2 linked regions of the Arabidopsis thaliana genome follow. The protein of the gene in region 2 interacts with the protein of the main gene of each other region in a pairwise test. Each region holds a gene or a part of one and is shown on either strand. Other genes may lie near its edges.

Region 1 (8,038 bases), on a different chromosome or scaffold from region 2:
GTTTCGGCTGACGGTGGTTTTTTGTCGGCGGAGCAAGCTACAACGCCTGTTGCGATTCCGACGCCGTATCCGTCATTGACGGTGTCGGCGTCCTATAAGGAGAAAAGTTCTGGGAGGAGGAGACCGGTTAGGCCTAGTTTTGATGCAGCTGCTGATAATGAGTTTATTACTTTGCTTCATGGTTCGGATCCAGTGAAAGTTGAGCTTAATCGGCTTGAGAATGAAGTTAGAGGTGAGATCAATGCTTGCTCGATCTAGTCGTTTTCGTGTCGATTCAGATCTGATTTTGTTTATTGACTTTGTTTTTTCAAATGTGGTTTTAGATAAGGATCGAGAATTAAGTGAAGCTAATGCTGAGATCAAAGCGTTGAGGTTATCTGAGAGACAAAGAGAGAAAGCTTGTGAAGAGGTGTGATTTTTTTTTTCCTTTTTTGGAAGATTTTGTTTGTTTTTTGTGGCTTATGGATTAGGTTATGGCAATGTTGTTAGAGAAGATTGATAGCTTATGTGTAGTTTCAAGTTCCTTATTGTGCTTCTTGTTAGCTGATTTTTATCTTATGTGCTTTGGAATTTTAATAGCTTACTGATGAGCTAGCTAAGTTGGATGGGAAGCTCAAGTTAACTGAATCGCTTCTCCAAAGCAAAGTATGTATCAAAATCTCCCTCCTTACGATCATGATTTGGCTGGATATCTGATTATGAACTATGTTGCAGAATCTAGAAATCAAGAAGATCAATGAGGAGAAGAAGGCTTCCATGGCTGCTCAGTTTGCTGCTGAAGCTACCTTAAGAAGGGTCCATGCTGCTCAAAAGGATGATGATATGCCTCCGATTGAAGCCATTCTAGCTCCATTGGAAGCTGAGCTTAAGCTAGCTCGCTCTGAGGTATGTTTTACTCATTTGAAGTCCAAATTTCTACTTGCAAATCGGATATTAATTTATGATGTTTCTGTGAAGATTGGGAAGCTTCAAGAAGATAACAGAGCTTTGGATCGTCTCACTAAATCAAAAGAAGCGGCTTTACTTGATGCTGAGAGGACTGTTGAAACTGCTCTGGCGAAAGCTGCTTTAGTTGATGATCTTCAGAATAAGAACCAAGAGTTGATGAAACAAATAGAAATCTGTCAGGTGCTGTACTCATTATCATCTTCTTTGTATCTAGTTAGTCAGGCTTTGGATGCCTTCTACTTATCACTCATTGTTTGTTAATAATTTCTATTATCTGTTTGATTCTTTAGGAAGAAAACAAAATTCTAGACCGAATGCACAGGCAAAAGGTTGCGGAGGTGGAAAAGCTTACTCAGACTGTACGGGAACTGGAAGAGGCCGTTCTTGCTGGTGGTGCTGCTGCAAATGCCGTGAGGGATTACCAGCGGAAGTTTCAAGAGATGAACGTAAGTTAATACATTTCCGAAAAAAGAAGTATAGAATCTTTACTCAACTGATGAAGGAATATTTCTTGCTCTACTTTTGCAGGAAGAACGAAAAACTCTTGACCGGGAACTTGCGCGTGCAAAGGTTACAGCAAACAGAGTTGCGACAGTGGTTGCAAATGAATGGAAAGATGGTAATGATAAAGTGATGCCTGTGAAGCAATGGCTTGAAGAAAGAAGGTTTCTACAGGTTTACTTTGATATGATTGCCCTTTTCCTAAATTTGTGGAATCCAGATTCTTTGAAGTGACAAAGGCACACAACCTTACATTCTCACTCTTTAACTCTCTTCTTGCAGGGAGAAATGCAGCAACTCCGCGATAAGCTTGCCATATCAGATCGAGCTGCGAAATCTGAAGCACAGCTAAAAGTATTCATCGTATTTATGCATTAGTCATTGTCGAATTTATGTTCTTGTTTAACTGAACTAATTAGTAAACTATTTCCTTATACAATTTCTAGGACAAGTTTCAACTACGACTTAGAGTGCTTGAAGAGACACTGAGAGGCACATCAAGCATCAGCATAAGGAACACACCTGAGGGAAGAAGCATGAGTAATGGACCGTCTCGCAGGCAGTCAATCGGTGGATCAGATAATTTACAAAAGTTTGCGTCAAATGGCTTTTTGTCAAAGAAAACTCCGATGAGAAATTCCTTTACTTCTAATTCCACCTCGGTATTGAAGAATGCTAAAGGAACATCCAAGTCATTCGATGGAGGCACAAGATCATTGGATAGAGGCAAAGCACTCTTAAAAGGACCTGGGAATTATTCGTTCAACAAGGCTTGTGATGAAACCAAAGAATCAGAGTCACCTAATACCTGGAAAGAAGATTCAGAAGAGAAGCCACCAAGTGAACTCCCTGCACCAGCAACCGAAGACAATGTCCCAGGGGTTTTGTATGATTTACTACAGAAGGAAGTAGTCGCCTTGAGAAAATCTTCGCATGAAAAGGATCAAAGCCTCAAAGACAAGGATGATGCCATAGAGGTAAAATCTCTCTGAATGTACCATATAAAATGTTGTTAAAAAGACGTGTTTGTAATGGAAGTCTTGATATTTTTCTTGTAGATGTTAGCAAAAAAGGTTGAAACTTTAACAAAGGCAATGGAAGTTGAAGCAAAGAAGATGAGAAGGGAAGTGGCTGCAATGGAGAAAGAGGTTGCTGCAATGCGTGTGGATAAAGATCAGGATAATAGAGCTAAAAGGTCTTCAAACACCAAACCCTCATCCAACACCGCCCAGATTCTTGCTGCAAGGTATCTAACAATGTTGAATATCTTTGTCTATTTTTATGATCAAATTGCGATTTTAGCAATCAGACTAAGCTTGGTGTTCGATATTCTGCAGAGCTGCTGGCCGAAGTGGGTTAACAAGGAGTACACAATGAGATGAGGGAGGAGATGTGACTAGTTCTTGTGGTCGTATCAGTTTAAACAAGTAAAACCGTTATAGGCTGGTGTGATTTTTAAGCTCTTTTTAACCTTTATATCTCTTTTTTATTTCTCTTGCTTTCCTTTACATCCTCTGTGATTTATTGAATTACCATAGAACTTAAGGATGAAAAAGATAAGTATGCTTTCTGACTTAGATCGGCTTACACTGCTTAGCGATGACGACAAGAAAAAAGGGTGGAGGGAGAGATGTTTGACATTTTCGCATAACATTTTCTGTCCTATGGAAGTAGTTTGTTTGGCTGTATAGGTTTTAGCTCTGTATTGAAGTTTGTGTACTTTACTTTTTCGGTTTCTTCATTCTATTTACTTGAGGTGTTGTGTGATTATTTCTACTTTTGGGTTTGTGGATATATATATATATGTCCAAACTCAGTGTCTTCTCTCTTTTGGATGGTACGTCAAAAATCAAATCCTGCATGGTCGAGTAACAAGGAGAAGTATATTATAGAAGGATCTTCATACAGCAAAACCATTAACATTACATGAATATCTATCTAAAGCGTACAACAATCACTAATTTACTATGTACACACGCTTCTAGCTTCTGATATATCTCTTCTACATGTCGTAAGAGTTTGGAATGTGACAGATACAAAACCACAAACCAAATGAAGAAGGAAAGAGTCTTTACAGATCCGAGTCTTGCCGGCTAGCCAAGCAGAGTTCATGTAATTCATTGAGTATCCATTCCTCACCAGTGTGACCACCAAGGACCAATACTCTAGTTCCTCCAACAACGCATGTGCTATGTCCCCAAGCTAACTTAGGCGGTTTCCCGGGGACATTCAGGATCCTCCATGACGGTTTCTCTTCTGCAGGATCTATTAGAAACAGTTGCGAAGGAGAGTGAAGCCCTGCAATCGACCCTCCAAAGATGATGACCCTACCACACGGCATGCTCACAGCCACATGGTCTAGTCTTGGAGGCGGTACAACCACGCCTGGGAATGCGCTACACTCAAGCTCTCTCCATCTTGGTTCTTCATCCTCCAAGTCTATAGTGTATGCCTCCCCTGACCTTAGCTTTAGATGACCACTATTTGCAAGCCCGCCAAACATTAGGATTTTAGTCCGACCAAAGACCGATAAAGAATGCCCAAGTCTAGAAGGAGGAGCCCATGATGTCGGGATCTCTTTCCATGTCGGTTTATCTGTTGTCAGATCCAACAAGAAGGTGTCGCTGAGAAGCACTCCAGCGTCTGTGCAGCCACCTGAGACAACCAGTTTAGAGCCCTCAATGGTGCACGAGCTGTGCCAAGATCTTGGCAATGGAGGAGTTCCTCCTGCTACTTCCTTCCATGTGGGATGCTTAGCGTCTAGATCAAGCACAAATACATCATTAAGCAATCCTTGTCTTCCACACCCTCCAAAGACTACCAACCACGACCCGTTGAGACACGAGAGTGTGTGTCCCCAACGTCCTGGAGGCGACGACGTCACCCTCACACGCTGCCACTCAGGACACTCTGCATCAAGATTGAGAACAAAAGTATCATCCAATGGCTGCATGTTAACCCCTTCCCCACCAAATAGCACAAGCCGGTTCCCAACAGCACACGCGCTGAAATTGCAGCGGGAAGGTTGTACAATCCCTCCAACAGTAAATTTACGCCAACACACAGCTTCAAGAGTGGTGAGCTCTCTAGCTAACCGACCCCATCTTAGCTTCTTAGTCATAATCTCCAGTGTTCCAGTTATCTCTTTTCCCCACGCATTCTGACATACCATCTTCCTCACACTCTCGTTCTTCGTCAACTGCCTCAACCTCCTGCAAGCAGAACCAATTGAAGCAACGTCCCTTGGAGTTAACCGAGATAAGATGTTATGAGCCAAAACTTCATCAGATAGCTGCAATATCCCACAGAAATCTTCATGATGCTCCTTAAACCTCGGGCTTCCACTTGGAAACAAGCACTCAGATGTTTGATCAAGCTGTTGTTTATGTTTGAACACAGGATACGAGACACGGTCAAGGTCTATAGTCGTTTCAGAGAAGACCTGTATCCCAATTACGTGTGTAATGGTTCCATCATCGTCACGTATTGGAGCAAGCCGTAGTCTGTTAACCAAAGGAGTACCATCTTTTCTGAAATTAAGAAGCTCTCCTTGGAATTCAATACCTTCTTCAAGACATCTCCTAATCTCAGATACAACCACAGGATCAACCAATGGGTGACGCCTTTGAGCTCGAGGATCTCTGTACTGTAGGAATCGACTGAAACCAAGCAGATTCAACCACAAATGCAGCATTATTCAAGAGAATTGATAACAACACACTCCAATTCAAAAAGGGGGAAATCGGAGAAATTAATATACCAGTTACGACCAAGAACTTCATCGGCACGATAGCCAGTGAAGACTTCGAAGACTCTGTTGACATAGATCAAAGGAAAATCTGGCTCCAGAGCATCGGAAACAATGAACGAAGGCGGAGTCATTGGGTAATAGAACATCCCAACCTCTAACGGAAGCTTCTCATCCTCTACTTGTTCTTCGATTCCATCGTTACAGTATTCTTCTGCTTCTTCAACTCTGCCGCGTTTCTTTCGTTTTCCGGTGGCTTCTCCGATCGCATGTTCTCTCGCCATTTTTCTCGCTTACAGAAATATCTTCTTCTTCTCTGATAAGCTCTCAGCCTTATGATATTTTATTTCTTTTTGTGTCTGTTTAAACTTTTAAAATATCTTGGCTTAGTTGGTGACTTATTGACGAATATACCCTTTATATTTAAGACGAGGCAAGAAGTCTTCGCGCCAGGAGTTGGTGGCAATTTTCGTAATTAAAAGGATATATCAGGGGTATGTTTAAAAAAAGTAAGTCTACTCTTGTTCGATTGTAACACGTCACCAGGGGATATTCCGAGAAAATATCTAGCCTACTCAACCACTCGCTTCTTCCACGTCATCATATTTTGTGAAAGATATTTGTTTTTTTTTTGAAGATTGAGATTTGAGGGAAGATATTTGTTTTTGTTTGTGAAGTGTTGGAACTTGGAAGTTGGAACGCAATTGGAATCAGATTCACGTAACCGTTGACTCTGGTCAAATAATAGATATTTTTGTGAAACGCGATTCTCGAAAAGGTTACACATAATGTTAATGTAACAAATTGAGTTTTCGTGGTGAGTGGAATGGGATGATGAGACAAGGGAGTTTTTCTCCCCAGTTGAGAAAATTCAGATTTAGCTCTAAAACTTCCCACTTATATAAGTTTCTAAACAAAAAAATTACATTAGAAATACGAAAATGTACGTAAGTAATGTAAATATGTAATAATTGATAGCAATAGTGGCCATAGACCCCACATAGTGGCATACTATGAGAGTAATAGAGTTAAGTGTAGTCCTAAGATTTACAGAAGTCCAGATCTAGGCCCATACTAAATAGCTAGCCCACAAAGCCCACACAAAAACTTAATTTGAACCAAATAAATAGACAACATATTTTTTTTATTTTTCTTAACCGTGTGAGAAGGCTTCTGACCATAATCTTTCAAGTACATGAAATCAACCTTTACATATTCCAATTGTGTTCAACCAAAAAAATATTCCAATTTAAATAATATATTTCCATTCCAAAAAACTAAACACAAGAAAACTAACCCTTTTGGTATATAGACAAAATAATTGTTTCATAGATTTATCTTTTTATTTTATCTTTAATTTCTATACAATTAAAGGTAAATTAAAGGTAATTTCTATACCACTCCAACATTTCCTGTTATGTTTCATTAGCTACTTCAAGTTTTAGATTTATATCGGGTTCACAAGACGTCAATAAATTACATTCCTTATCACCTCAATAAAAAAAGTTATGATTTTTTGTTTTTCTTATTTTTTCTTTACTTTTTGATATAAAAAAAAGTTCTGGCTTTTGTTATGTAATTTGATTTTTTGAACACAAACAATCGAAACTCAAACATCTTTTTGGTGGACTAAAACCCAACAACTTTTTTTGATTGATGAAAAAAATAACATTCATTTTTGGAGAATATAAATTCAGGGAAATTTATAATTAATTAAAGGTATTGAGGCTCTATCTATTGCCAATACTTTTGGGACCGCTTGGTTCATCGCGAAGACAAAGAGACATGTTCAAAAACAATGGTACTCATCGCACCCCTGTCACTAGAATAATAGCCACTAATCCTAGTCTAACATTGGCCGGTCTGGTCTTTTTCTTTTTAAATAGTTTCATGATTGTCATCATCTCAATTTTTGTGTAAGTTAAGTTATGAGTTAATTAATGACAGAAATAGAGCGAGCAATAGTTTCTTTTGAAGTCGTGAAATGTATAACATCAATATAGATCCAAGTATGATTTTTGACCACATCCAAATTACAAATTAAAAACAAAAAAATTCTATAAATGTTTCGAATATTTATATAAAAACAGACGAAGAAAAATTGAAGTTTTGAATCATGAATGAAACAAAATCGTGCTAAGCAAAACAATTTAAATGGTTGGTGTACTGCATGTGCTTTAACGTGAGCAGTTTAATGAGAATTAGGGTTCCACATGTTAATATATATTTATAATGTTATCACAAAAATATATTTGTAATTTCACAGCTAAAATATGACTTCTTTTACCAAAACAAAAACTAAAATATGACTTGAACACGAAACAGAAAGTATATACATTCACGTATCACAGCCCTAGAATCTAGCTCACTTCCTAATTCGAAAATTGCGTAAGCTCACACGTCAGTACCCTAAACTATTACCTCCGTTTTTTCTTTTCTTTCAGGTTTTAGTTAACTAATTAATTAGTCAATAAAAACTTCAGCAAATGAAAAACAAATTTGCTGCGTGAACTTTTTTAGTTCATCAAATCTTTTGATTTTGTGGGATTCAATATCCAACTTAATACATATCATATTCATGTGCACTTTCAGTTTAGTATAAAACTCGAGATTATTAATTAAACAAAACATAAAAGACAAAAAAGTAAAAACTAAAGAGATCATATACTAAAAGAAAAAAAAGTAGTATGGTTTTATTAATAAATAATGTAATAAGAATATATTTATATTGAAAAACATTTTTAAATAGTATGATTTTAAAAATAAATAATGTAATAAGAATATGATTTTAAATATATGTTAGTGTTAACATTTTTGTTTAAATGTGAGAAATTTTTCATT
Region 2 (8,258 bases):
TAGTCATTCAAGATATTGTTTTATGGATCCATGAATTTAAATGTTGGATCTAGACTCGCATACCTCCAATATCTTGGCCATCGATAATTAGTACCAAAAACTAACTTTATTACCTACTAGTTACTATCTTTAACTTCTTTCTTTTTTATTATAGGATTTGAAGTATCAAACAGAGGATGCTGTGGAACCGGATTAGTCGAAGTACTATTTTTATGCAACAAAATCAATCCTTTTACATGCAAAAATTCATCTTCGTATATTTTTTGGGATAGTTACCATCCAACAGAAAAAGCTTACCAAATAATAGTTGATAAGTTGTTAGGAAATTACATTACGAAACTAGTCTAATTCTATATTTTTATAATATACTAAGTAATATTTTTTCCTATGTAAAAACGTAAAAAAAAAAAATATTTTTTCAATAATAAGAAATAGTATTTAAATGTTCATTTAGATTAAATAGATTCAATATAGTTTGTTAAAAATGATTTATCAATTAAAAAAACAGGTTATATTGGATTAGACTAGTTTCGTAATGGCTAAAAAAAAGAATAAAACATACGTACGAGAACAAGACGAAGAAATAGAAGGCATCCACTACACAATTGTACATGTCGACAACAAAGTCAACGACATACCGTTTGAGACACCGTGGCTTTCGCTTTTCTCTCAAAAAAAAAAAATCAATCATGTTTTTTTGGTTTTTATGTTTCGACAGTATTTGGTAGGTTGTTTTAATATTATTAAAAACATACTTATTATTTGTGTGAATATGTTTAAAAGCAAACTTGGTTGTTTGGAATTGTAATATCAAATGTCAAGATCCATCAACTTTCATAAAAATTCGTTAATTTGTACGTGAACAATTAATAAATCTCTCATACCACACATATTATTGCTCTAGTCAATTTGTTTCCTTTGTTTTCAGTCATTTTCAGGAATCAAATATTAGCAATGCTTTAACTCTACTCCACTGCAACCAAATTGGTTGTTTAGAGTTATCAAATGACAAAACTCGTTAAAAACTCGTTAATATCTATTAACCAATAAATCTCTAGTGAACTTTTTTCCTTTGTTTTGTTCTGTCATTTTCAGGAATCTAAATTATTAAGTCTTCAACTCTACTCCACCACAACCAAAATTAAACGAGTCTTGTCTACATGACCTAATTTGCTTAACAACCTTATCATCTCACTAACAACTCCATCTCCCAAAATTTAAACTCCTTTAACTATGCCTATAAAACCTTGATCCATTCTTCATCACATAAGCAACCCAACAAATTCATTCTAAATACATTTCTTTTCACTCAAGAAATTAAAATTTCGAAAAGTTTGTTAAAATGAATGCACACATGCTCAATCTCCTTGTCATAGTCATTTTTGTAGTTTCTTTCGATGTCCAAGCACTCAGTCCTCACTACTACGACCATACTTGTCCACAAGCCGACCACATTGTAACCAATGCAGTCAAGAAAGCCATGTCAAACGACCAAACTGTCCCTGCTGCGCTTTTGAGGATGCATTTCCACGACTGTTTCGTCAGAGTAACAACTTCTTACACACAACATTGTTGTCATCTTTCGGTCTTTTTATGTCTTTATACTCTAAATAATGTTGTTGGTGATACTTTTGATCATTAAAGGGATGTGATGGCTCAGTTCTCTTAGACTCTAAGGGGAAGAACAAAGCAGAGAAAGATGGACCTCCTAACATCTCACTCCATGCATTTTATGTGATTGACAATGCAAAGAAGGCATTAGAAGAACAATGTCCCGGTATCGTCTCTTGCGCCGACATTCTTTCACTTGCGGCAAGAGATGCTGTCGCTCTCGTAAGTCTCTCTCCATCTCAAATTCCAAGTACTACTTTTATTTGATGATTCTAATGATCCACCTAAAATATTATTTGTGGATGTTACTATAGTCAGGAGGGCCTACATGGGCAGTGCCAAAAGGGAGAAAAGATGGAAGAATATCAAAGGCAATAGAAACAAGACAACTACCAGCTCCTACTTTCAACATTTCTCAATTGCGTCAAAATTTTGGCCAAAGAGGCCTCTCTATGCATGATCTTGTTGCTCTCTCTGGTATTAAACATTCTCGCACTCACTTAAAATATATTTACAAAGATTTCTAAAATCTTTTTCTTAAACTATGCTAAAAGATGCAACATAAATCTAAATTTTAAAAATAATTGGCAAAAGACAAATATAGTTCCAATGCTTATAATGGTTTAAATTCCGAATGTTGAATGAAATGGCAGGAGGTCATACACTAGGATTCGCCCACTGTTCATCGTTCCAGAATAGGCTCCATAAATTCAACACACAAAAGGAGGTTGACCCAACACTAAACCCCTCATTCGCAGCCAGGTTGGAGGGAGTGTGCCCGGCCCATAACACGGTGAAGAATGCTGGATCGAACATGGATGGAACCGTGACGTCATTCGACAATATCTACTACAAGATGCTTATCCAAGGCAAGTCACTATTCTCATCCGACGAATCGCTTCTTGCAGTACCCTCTACTAAGAAACTCGTGGCCAAATATGCAAATTCCAACGAAGAGTTCGAGAGGGCTTTTGTGAAATCGATGATCAAGATGAGTAGTATCAGTGGGAATGGCAATGAGGTCAGACTTAACTGCAGAAGGGTTCGCTAGAATCTCAATCTACGCTTCCAACATCACGTTACTACTACATTTTTATGTCTTTCGTTTTCTTTCGTCACATTGATTACTTGTGAATGGGCCTTTCTAAAGATTAAGGCAGAGGTTCTTGTATCAGAATTATCTATCAATCTCTCGTGTGTGCTTGTATAGGCATTTATTTACAAGTAATAAGATCTTTTCTCTTTCTAAGAACATGCAGACAAATCTTATCACTTGTGTTCACAACCTATCTAAATGATTGACGAAACAATAGAAGACCAACACTCTCTTTTGAGCAACAACTTCAATATGTTTCGTAGTTAAGTCTTTAATTTGACATACATAACATAACATTAACATCCGACCCACTGTCTTAGCTGGACCATCACGTAGAAGAGAATGGATATATAGTCAAAGAAAGAAGATAAGACAGGGAGACACAAATGGGTCGAGGACATGACAGCAACCTAGGTCTTCATTTTTCTTCATTCAAACGCCCACTGATTCTCACGGCGAACCTCTTCTTCTTCCTCTGGCGTGAAGTCGTTCTTGATATTGAACGTCTTACGGATTTCTTCTGGGGTTTTTCCTTTAATCATATCAGCCACTGTCTGGCAAGTCAAGTCCAACAGTCCCTTGATATTCAAGTAGTTAGCAGCCTAAAAGGTGTCACAGGGAAACCAACTTAGATTCAAGCTCTTCAACTTTCAGATAAAAATGGAACTTTATTGTTCAAGCAAATCAAACATATTGAACTACGATTCCAAAGAAAATAAACTTTATCACTCGTTTCAGACAGAACAAAACATGTCATGTTAGCATCCAAAAGGTTTCTCAGAAAAACAAATCTAGATTCAAGCAAATCCCAAAGAAATTAAACATTATCCAATGTTTAAGACAGAACATAAAAAACATGAGTTTGGATGTAAAGTGGTCTTCAGCTATAAACAAATCCAACAAACTCAAAAGAAATCTCTTGACACTTTTTTCTCTATCAGACCATATATTTCAATCAGACATGATCATAGTTTAAACTGTGAAATTGGCAATCTAAACAAAACCTGAACCCTAAAATTAGATCTCAAACAGAAATCAAGATCTCAAACCCTAGAAATGAAATCGCAAACTTTGAAAACCAAAGCAATTAAAAATAAGTTTGACAAACCAGGATAAGATCGAAGAGAGTGCCCTGATCAACTTTGATAAACTCAGAATCCCAAGTCTTGAGATCTTCATCACTAGAACCCGACGCGACGGTGGTGGTAGTAGTAGCAGCAGCAGCATCGGCCGTGGTTTCGGATTTCTCAGCAGCTTCGACATGTCTCTTACAGTACTCAATCACCTTCGAAAGGATCTTGCTTGTGACATTAGGGAGAGGGATACCATTATCGGTACAGTCATCTTCAATCATATGTTTGATGGTTTGTGACTCTAGCGCCACCGCTTCGTCAATTTCGAAGTTTTCGCCATCCGAACTCTTAAGAGTGATTTTTCTCACCGTCGACATTGGTTTTTGCTGAGTTTAGAGACGACGTGGAGGCTGAGGAAGAGAATCGTGGAACAGAGAGATGTGTGTATGGGTTAAATCAAAATGTTTTTAAAGCCCGGCTCACACATTGAACCAGTGAGATCTAACGATTCCCAATTGACTTTTTTTACCTATAAATTTTCATTTTAAAACATTTTCTCTGTTTTTTTCTTTCAAAGGAAAACACCTGAAAATTAATTCAACTCTTTTCATCAACTTTTGATTAATCAGTAGTTGAACAGATACTAAACTCCTCTATTTGTAGGATGGTGTGTATAATTTAATTGGATTCATGTGATTTGATTTCCGGTAATATTTTTCTTTGAACATCTTTGCAAATAAAGAGTTAAGAATCATAATCAATTGCGGCAGTTGTTTTGCTAATTAAGTTGTATTAAAATCATCCACATTCTAGAAACCAAGTCCACCGTTACGACAAAACTTATTTATTTTTTATTTTATTTTTCTTATTTTTTTTTAATTTTAAATTTCCATTAAAACAAACAACAAGTTATAAGACAAGTGTCCAAACATAAGCACACAGGCTCGAAAACATACACATCCAAAAGCTCAAATCCAAGGCGCGCAGGCCCGACAACAAGAGCAAAGCCCAAAACAACCAAAGAAGCTGAAACTTAAAAATAGCAGGCCCAAAAACCAAAAGAACGAAGAGGGAACGACCCAAGGACTCAAAAAACTCATAAGGAAACCTGAACCGCAGAGGAGGACCTAACTGAAGAGACGGAACCAAGTAGCAAGCAGAGAGGCACCCGGAGGAGGAGAGGGAGAGCAGAGAGGCACTATGACAAAATTTATCTCATGCCTTCCACTGTAAACGTTTTGTTCGTCCATTGGAACTCTACCAAAATTTCGTTACTACATTCCTAAGTTTTGATGTTACTGATTTTGGTAATCTAAAACAAGACAATACATAAGTAAGCAATGCATCTGGTACTGATTTAATCAATACTTCTTTGCCATCTTTAGATAAGAATTTTGTAAACCAACCATTTATTCTATTATGTAAATATTTTCTAAAAGAGTAAATTTTTTTTGTCTTAGATCCTCCTAAACTTTTCGATAATCTCAAGTAGTTGTTCATGTCCCCTATATTAGTGATTTCGAAGATTGCCATAAGTTTGTCCATCATCGAGTTGTCAACTCATGACCAAAAACCTCTTCATAGTTCTTTAGTATTCCAAATCCAATGACGCATTGTTTTTTTTGTCGTTTTACAAAAAAGAAGCTATCATCCACGAACATAAGTGAAATATTGAGGGATTCGCTTGTAAAAATTTCATCCCCGCTAAAATCTTATCTTATTAAATAAAGTGAGAAAAATCTAACTTGCGTTATCTAAATTTTCACCAAAGCATAATCGGCCATTATCCTAGTAAAAAATATGGGCCAATAAAAAATATATTTAGATTCACCCCTTTATTCACCTTTTTATTCCATTAAATTAGAATTTATACCTAATAAATAAATTAAATTTATTTTATTATAAAATCTAATTTGCCACAAGAACAAAATTTTATATAGTTTTGGGTTTATAAGAAAGGATTGAAGTTTAGATTTTACTATTAAATATCGATTTGAGTTATAAACAGTTTTAGATTTTATAACTAAACGAGATTGAACGTCTGTTTGGTTTTATAAATGGATTTAGATTTTATAATTAAACAATGTTAAATATCGGTTTGGGTTTAGAAAGAACGGTTAGAGATTTAGAGTTTGCAATTAAAAGAGTTTAAATATCGAATTGGGTGTACAAAGAAGAACTAGGGTTAGATTTTATAATTAAACGAGATTACATTTTGGTTTGAATTTTTTAAAAAGTGGTTAGAATTTAATTTTTTTTTACTTTTTATTTAGAATTTAGATTTTTTATTTATAATTAAATAAGTTTTTTTAACTTTTTATTAGGTAGTATATTCTGATTGGCTGAAATAAAAAAATTAGGATTTAGATTTTATAATTAGACTAAATTATATATGAGTTTGAGTTTATAAAAAAATGATTATGATTTAAATTTTATAATTAAATGAGTTTAAATTTCTTTTATTAAATAACGAATTCAGATTGGTTAAAAACTTAAGATAAGAGGAAATAAATAAAAAGATTTACCTAATAAGTGAACCCAAATATTGTTCACTAGACCGTAAACATGGATTTTCTCAGCTATGCTGAAGGAGTCAAGACAAGACCAGGTCTGAATAACTGAATACATGGTCAATTTTATAGCAGTCAATTTTTTTTCTCGAAAAAATCAGTTGTTGCAATTTTTTAGTACCGTCGATTATTTTATACATAATCAGCTCTAGAGATTTTATGCATTGATGCTTCTGTAATTATACTTTTTAATTTAATTTCTGTTGTATATTTTGAATGTAGAAAAGATTCTAGAAACGAAAATAAAAACATTTTAGTAATAAATTAATGTAAATAATATAAAAAATACATAATGTAAATTAATATTGTTCTTTATATTAATGTAAATTAATGTAAACCAGTCTAGTAAATATAGCGCCTATTTAATTGAAATTTATTTGTTAGAAAATAAATAACTACTTTAACGCATTATCTTCAAGTGCTATCTTCTTTAACTTTTTAGTGGATTGGACTTCTCCGTCGCCTCTAATTCCTAGAACATGATTGCTATTATTTTATACAGCTCTCAAACTAAAGTACTTTTTGTAAGCATAGAAGAAGAAAATACTTTTAGTCTCAAAGTAAGGTAAAGAGAAATTTTGAAATTCCATTTCACCGGTCACAGAAAAGCAAATAAATCAACGACCCTAGCTTTGAAATTCCATTTTACCGGCCCAAAACACAAATGGCCATACAACCGCAAACATTGTATAATACGATAGCTCATGATTTCTTCATTAATAATTAAAAGAAACAGAATTTATAATTTTGTTGGAAAAAAGTTAAGCAGGTTAAATTAATAATTAGCATTGCTTTTTCAGAACTTAAATGTCGAGAAAAGTGTTGTGCCATGTTGTTCTATATTCTGTTGGCTAATTTATTTTCTTCCAAAATGAAAGAGCTTCAATAGTAGTATTATAGAGCTTTTATGTTGCTCTATTTTCTGAGGTTCTTAATGATATTTTTTCTGCTTTGTATTCTTCTGTATGGACTAATTAAGATTCTGAGTAGTAGTCTAAGTAAAAACATATTTTCATATAAAGGTTGTATGAAACTGGTGTAGAAATGTGTTTCGTGTGAATCCAACGTACGTAATATGAACAAACACGTGACAGATAGGAAAACATTAAAAGGGTGTTTTACCAAGACATTATGACGTTCAAGTAATTAAATAACGAAACCACAAGAATTGATTGAACACCATAAAAAAATGTGGGTTTTATAAAATCCTAGTTTTGTTTTACATAACGTCACATGCACTAGGACACCACCTATCATGTACATTGTATGGCTCTCATCATACTAGTCAGACATATAAGTACATCTTTAAGTACAAGAGTTTGCCCTGATTAACTCAACACCTATATCGCTGTCTATTTAACTGGTAAATTTTGCTTGGACTAGGCTTAATACCATTTACAATTACAGATTCAAAAAAAGAAAAAAATAAATAAATTCATATAAAAATTAGTCGAAACAAAAACCAAATGATGTTAACAAAAACGAAATGAACACTATTGTTAACAGAATCCGGCATACTCAGCTTCATAAACAAAGCTTTAATCTTCTTTAACTTTGAAACCAAAAATTATATTACCATTAAAAATGTATATCCGACTGTACTGATCACCACCACTTTTATCATCAACAAATCTCTCATCTTTTACTTCTCGAAAATAATGGTGAGCTTTATTATATTCTATTTCAGATTCCTAAAAGTCCGCTTAAAACCTTTAATATTGTTAGACTCTTGTTTCATATTAATTATAGGATGTTTTAGTTAAAAATACATATTTTAAGATTTTATTTTCTAACTATCATTGACTCCATAGAAATTTAGGGAGTAAAATTTAGTTTTAAAATTTTTAACCAATGATAATAAAATATTAAATGCATTGAAAAGTTGCATAGAAATTTGTAAAACATCTT

The links.
Region 1: the proteins of AT5G42190 (region 2) and FKF1 interact in binary tests that used the Arabidopsis thaliana proteins (3 or more experiments, as listed by UniProt).

What each region holds. Positions count from the first base shown.
Region 1 is NC_003070.9:25,506,180-25,514,217, reverse strand, and holds FKF1 (flavin-binding, kelch repeat, f box 1), read right to left. Parts: upstream 5,580-8,038; 5' UTR 5,482-5,579; coding exon 5,210-5,481; intron 5,109-5,209; coding exon 3,521-5,108; 3' UTR 3,311-3,520; downstream 1-3,310. Other genes in the region: MAP70-1 (microtubule-associated proteins 70-1), read left to right, coding at 1-232, 324-409, 580-645, 715-885, 958-1,128, 1,239-1,394, 1,477-1,623, 1,732-1,803 and 3 more. UniProt on the Arabidopsis thaliana protein: Component of an E3 ubiquitin ligase complex that plays a central role in blue light-dependent circadian cycles.
Region 2 is NC_003076.8:16,851,360-16,859,617, forward strand, and holds AT5G42190 (E3 ubiquitin ligase SCF complex subunit SKP1/ASK1 family protein), read right to left. Parts: upstream 4,383-8,258; 5' UTR 4,158-4,382; coding exon 3,816-4,157; intron 3,310-3,815; coding exon 3,136-3,309; 3' UTR 2,832-3,135; downstream 1-2,831. Other genes in the region: AT5G42170 (SGNH hydrolase-type esterase superfamily protein), read left to right, coding at 155-348; PER64 (Peroxidase superfamily protein), read left to right, coding at 1,343-1,546, 1,645-1,833, 1,926-2,088, 2,265-2,662.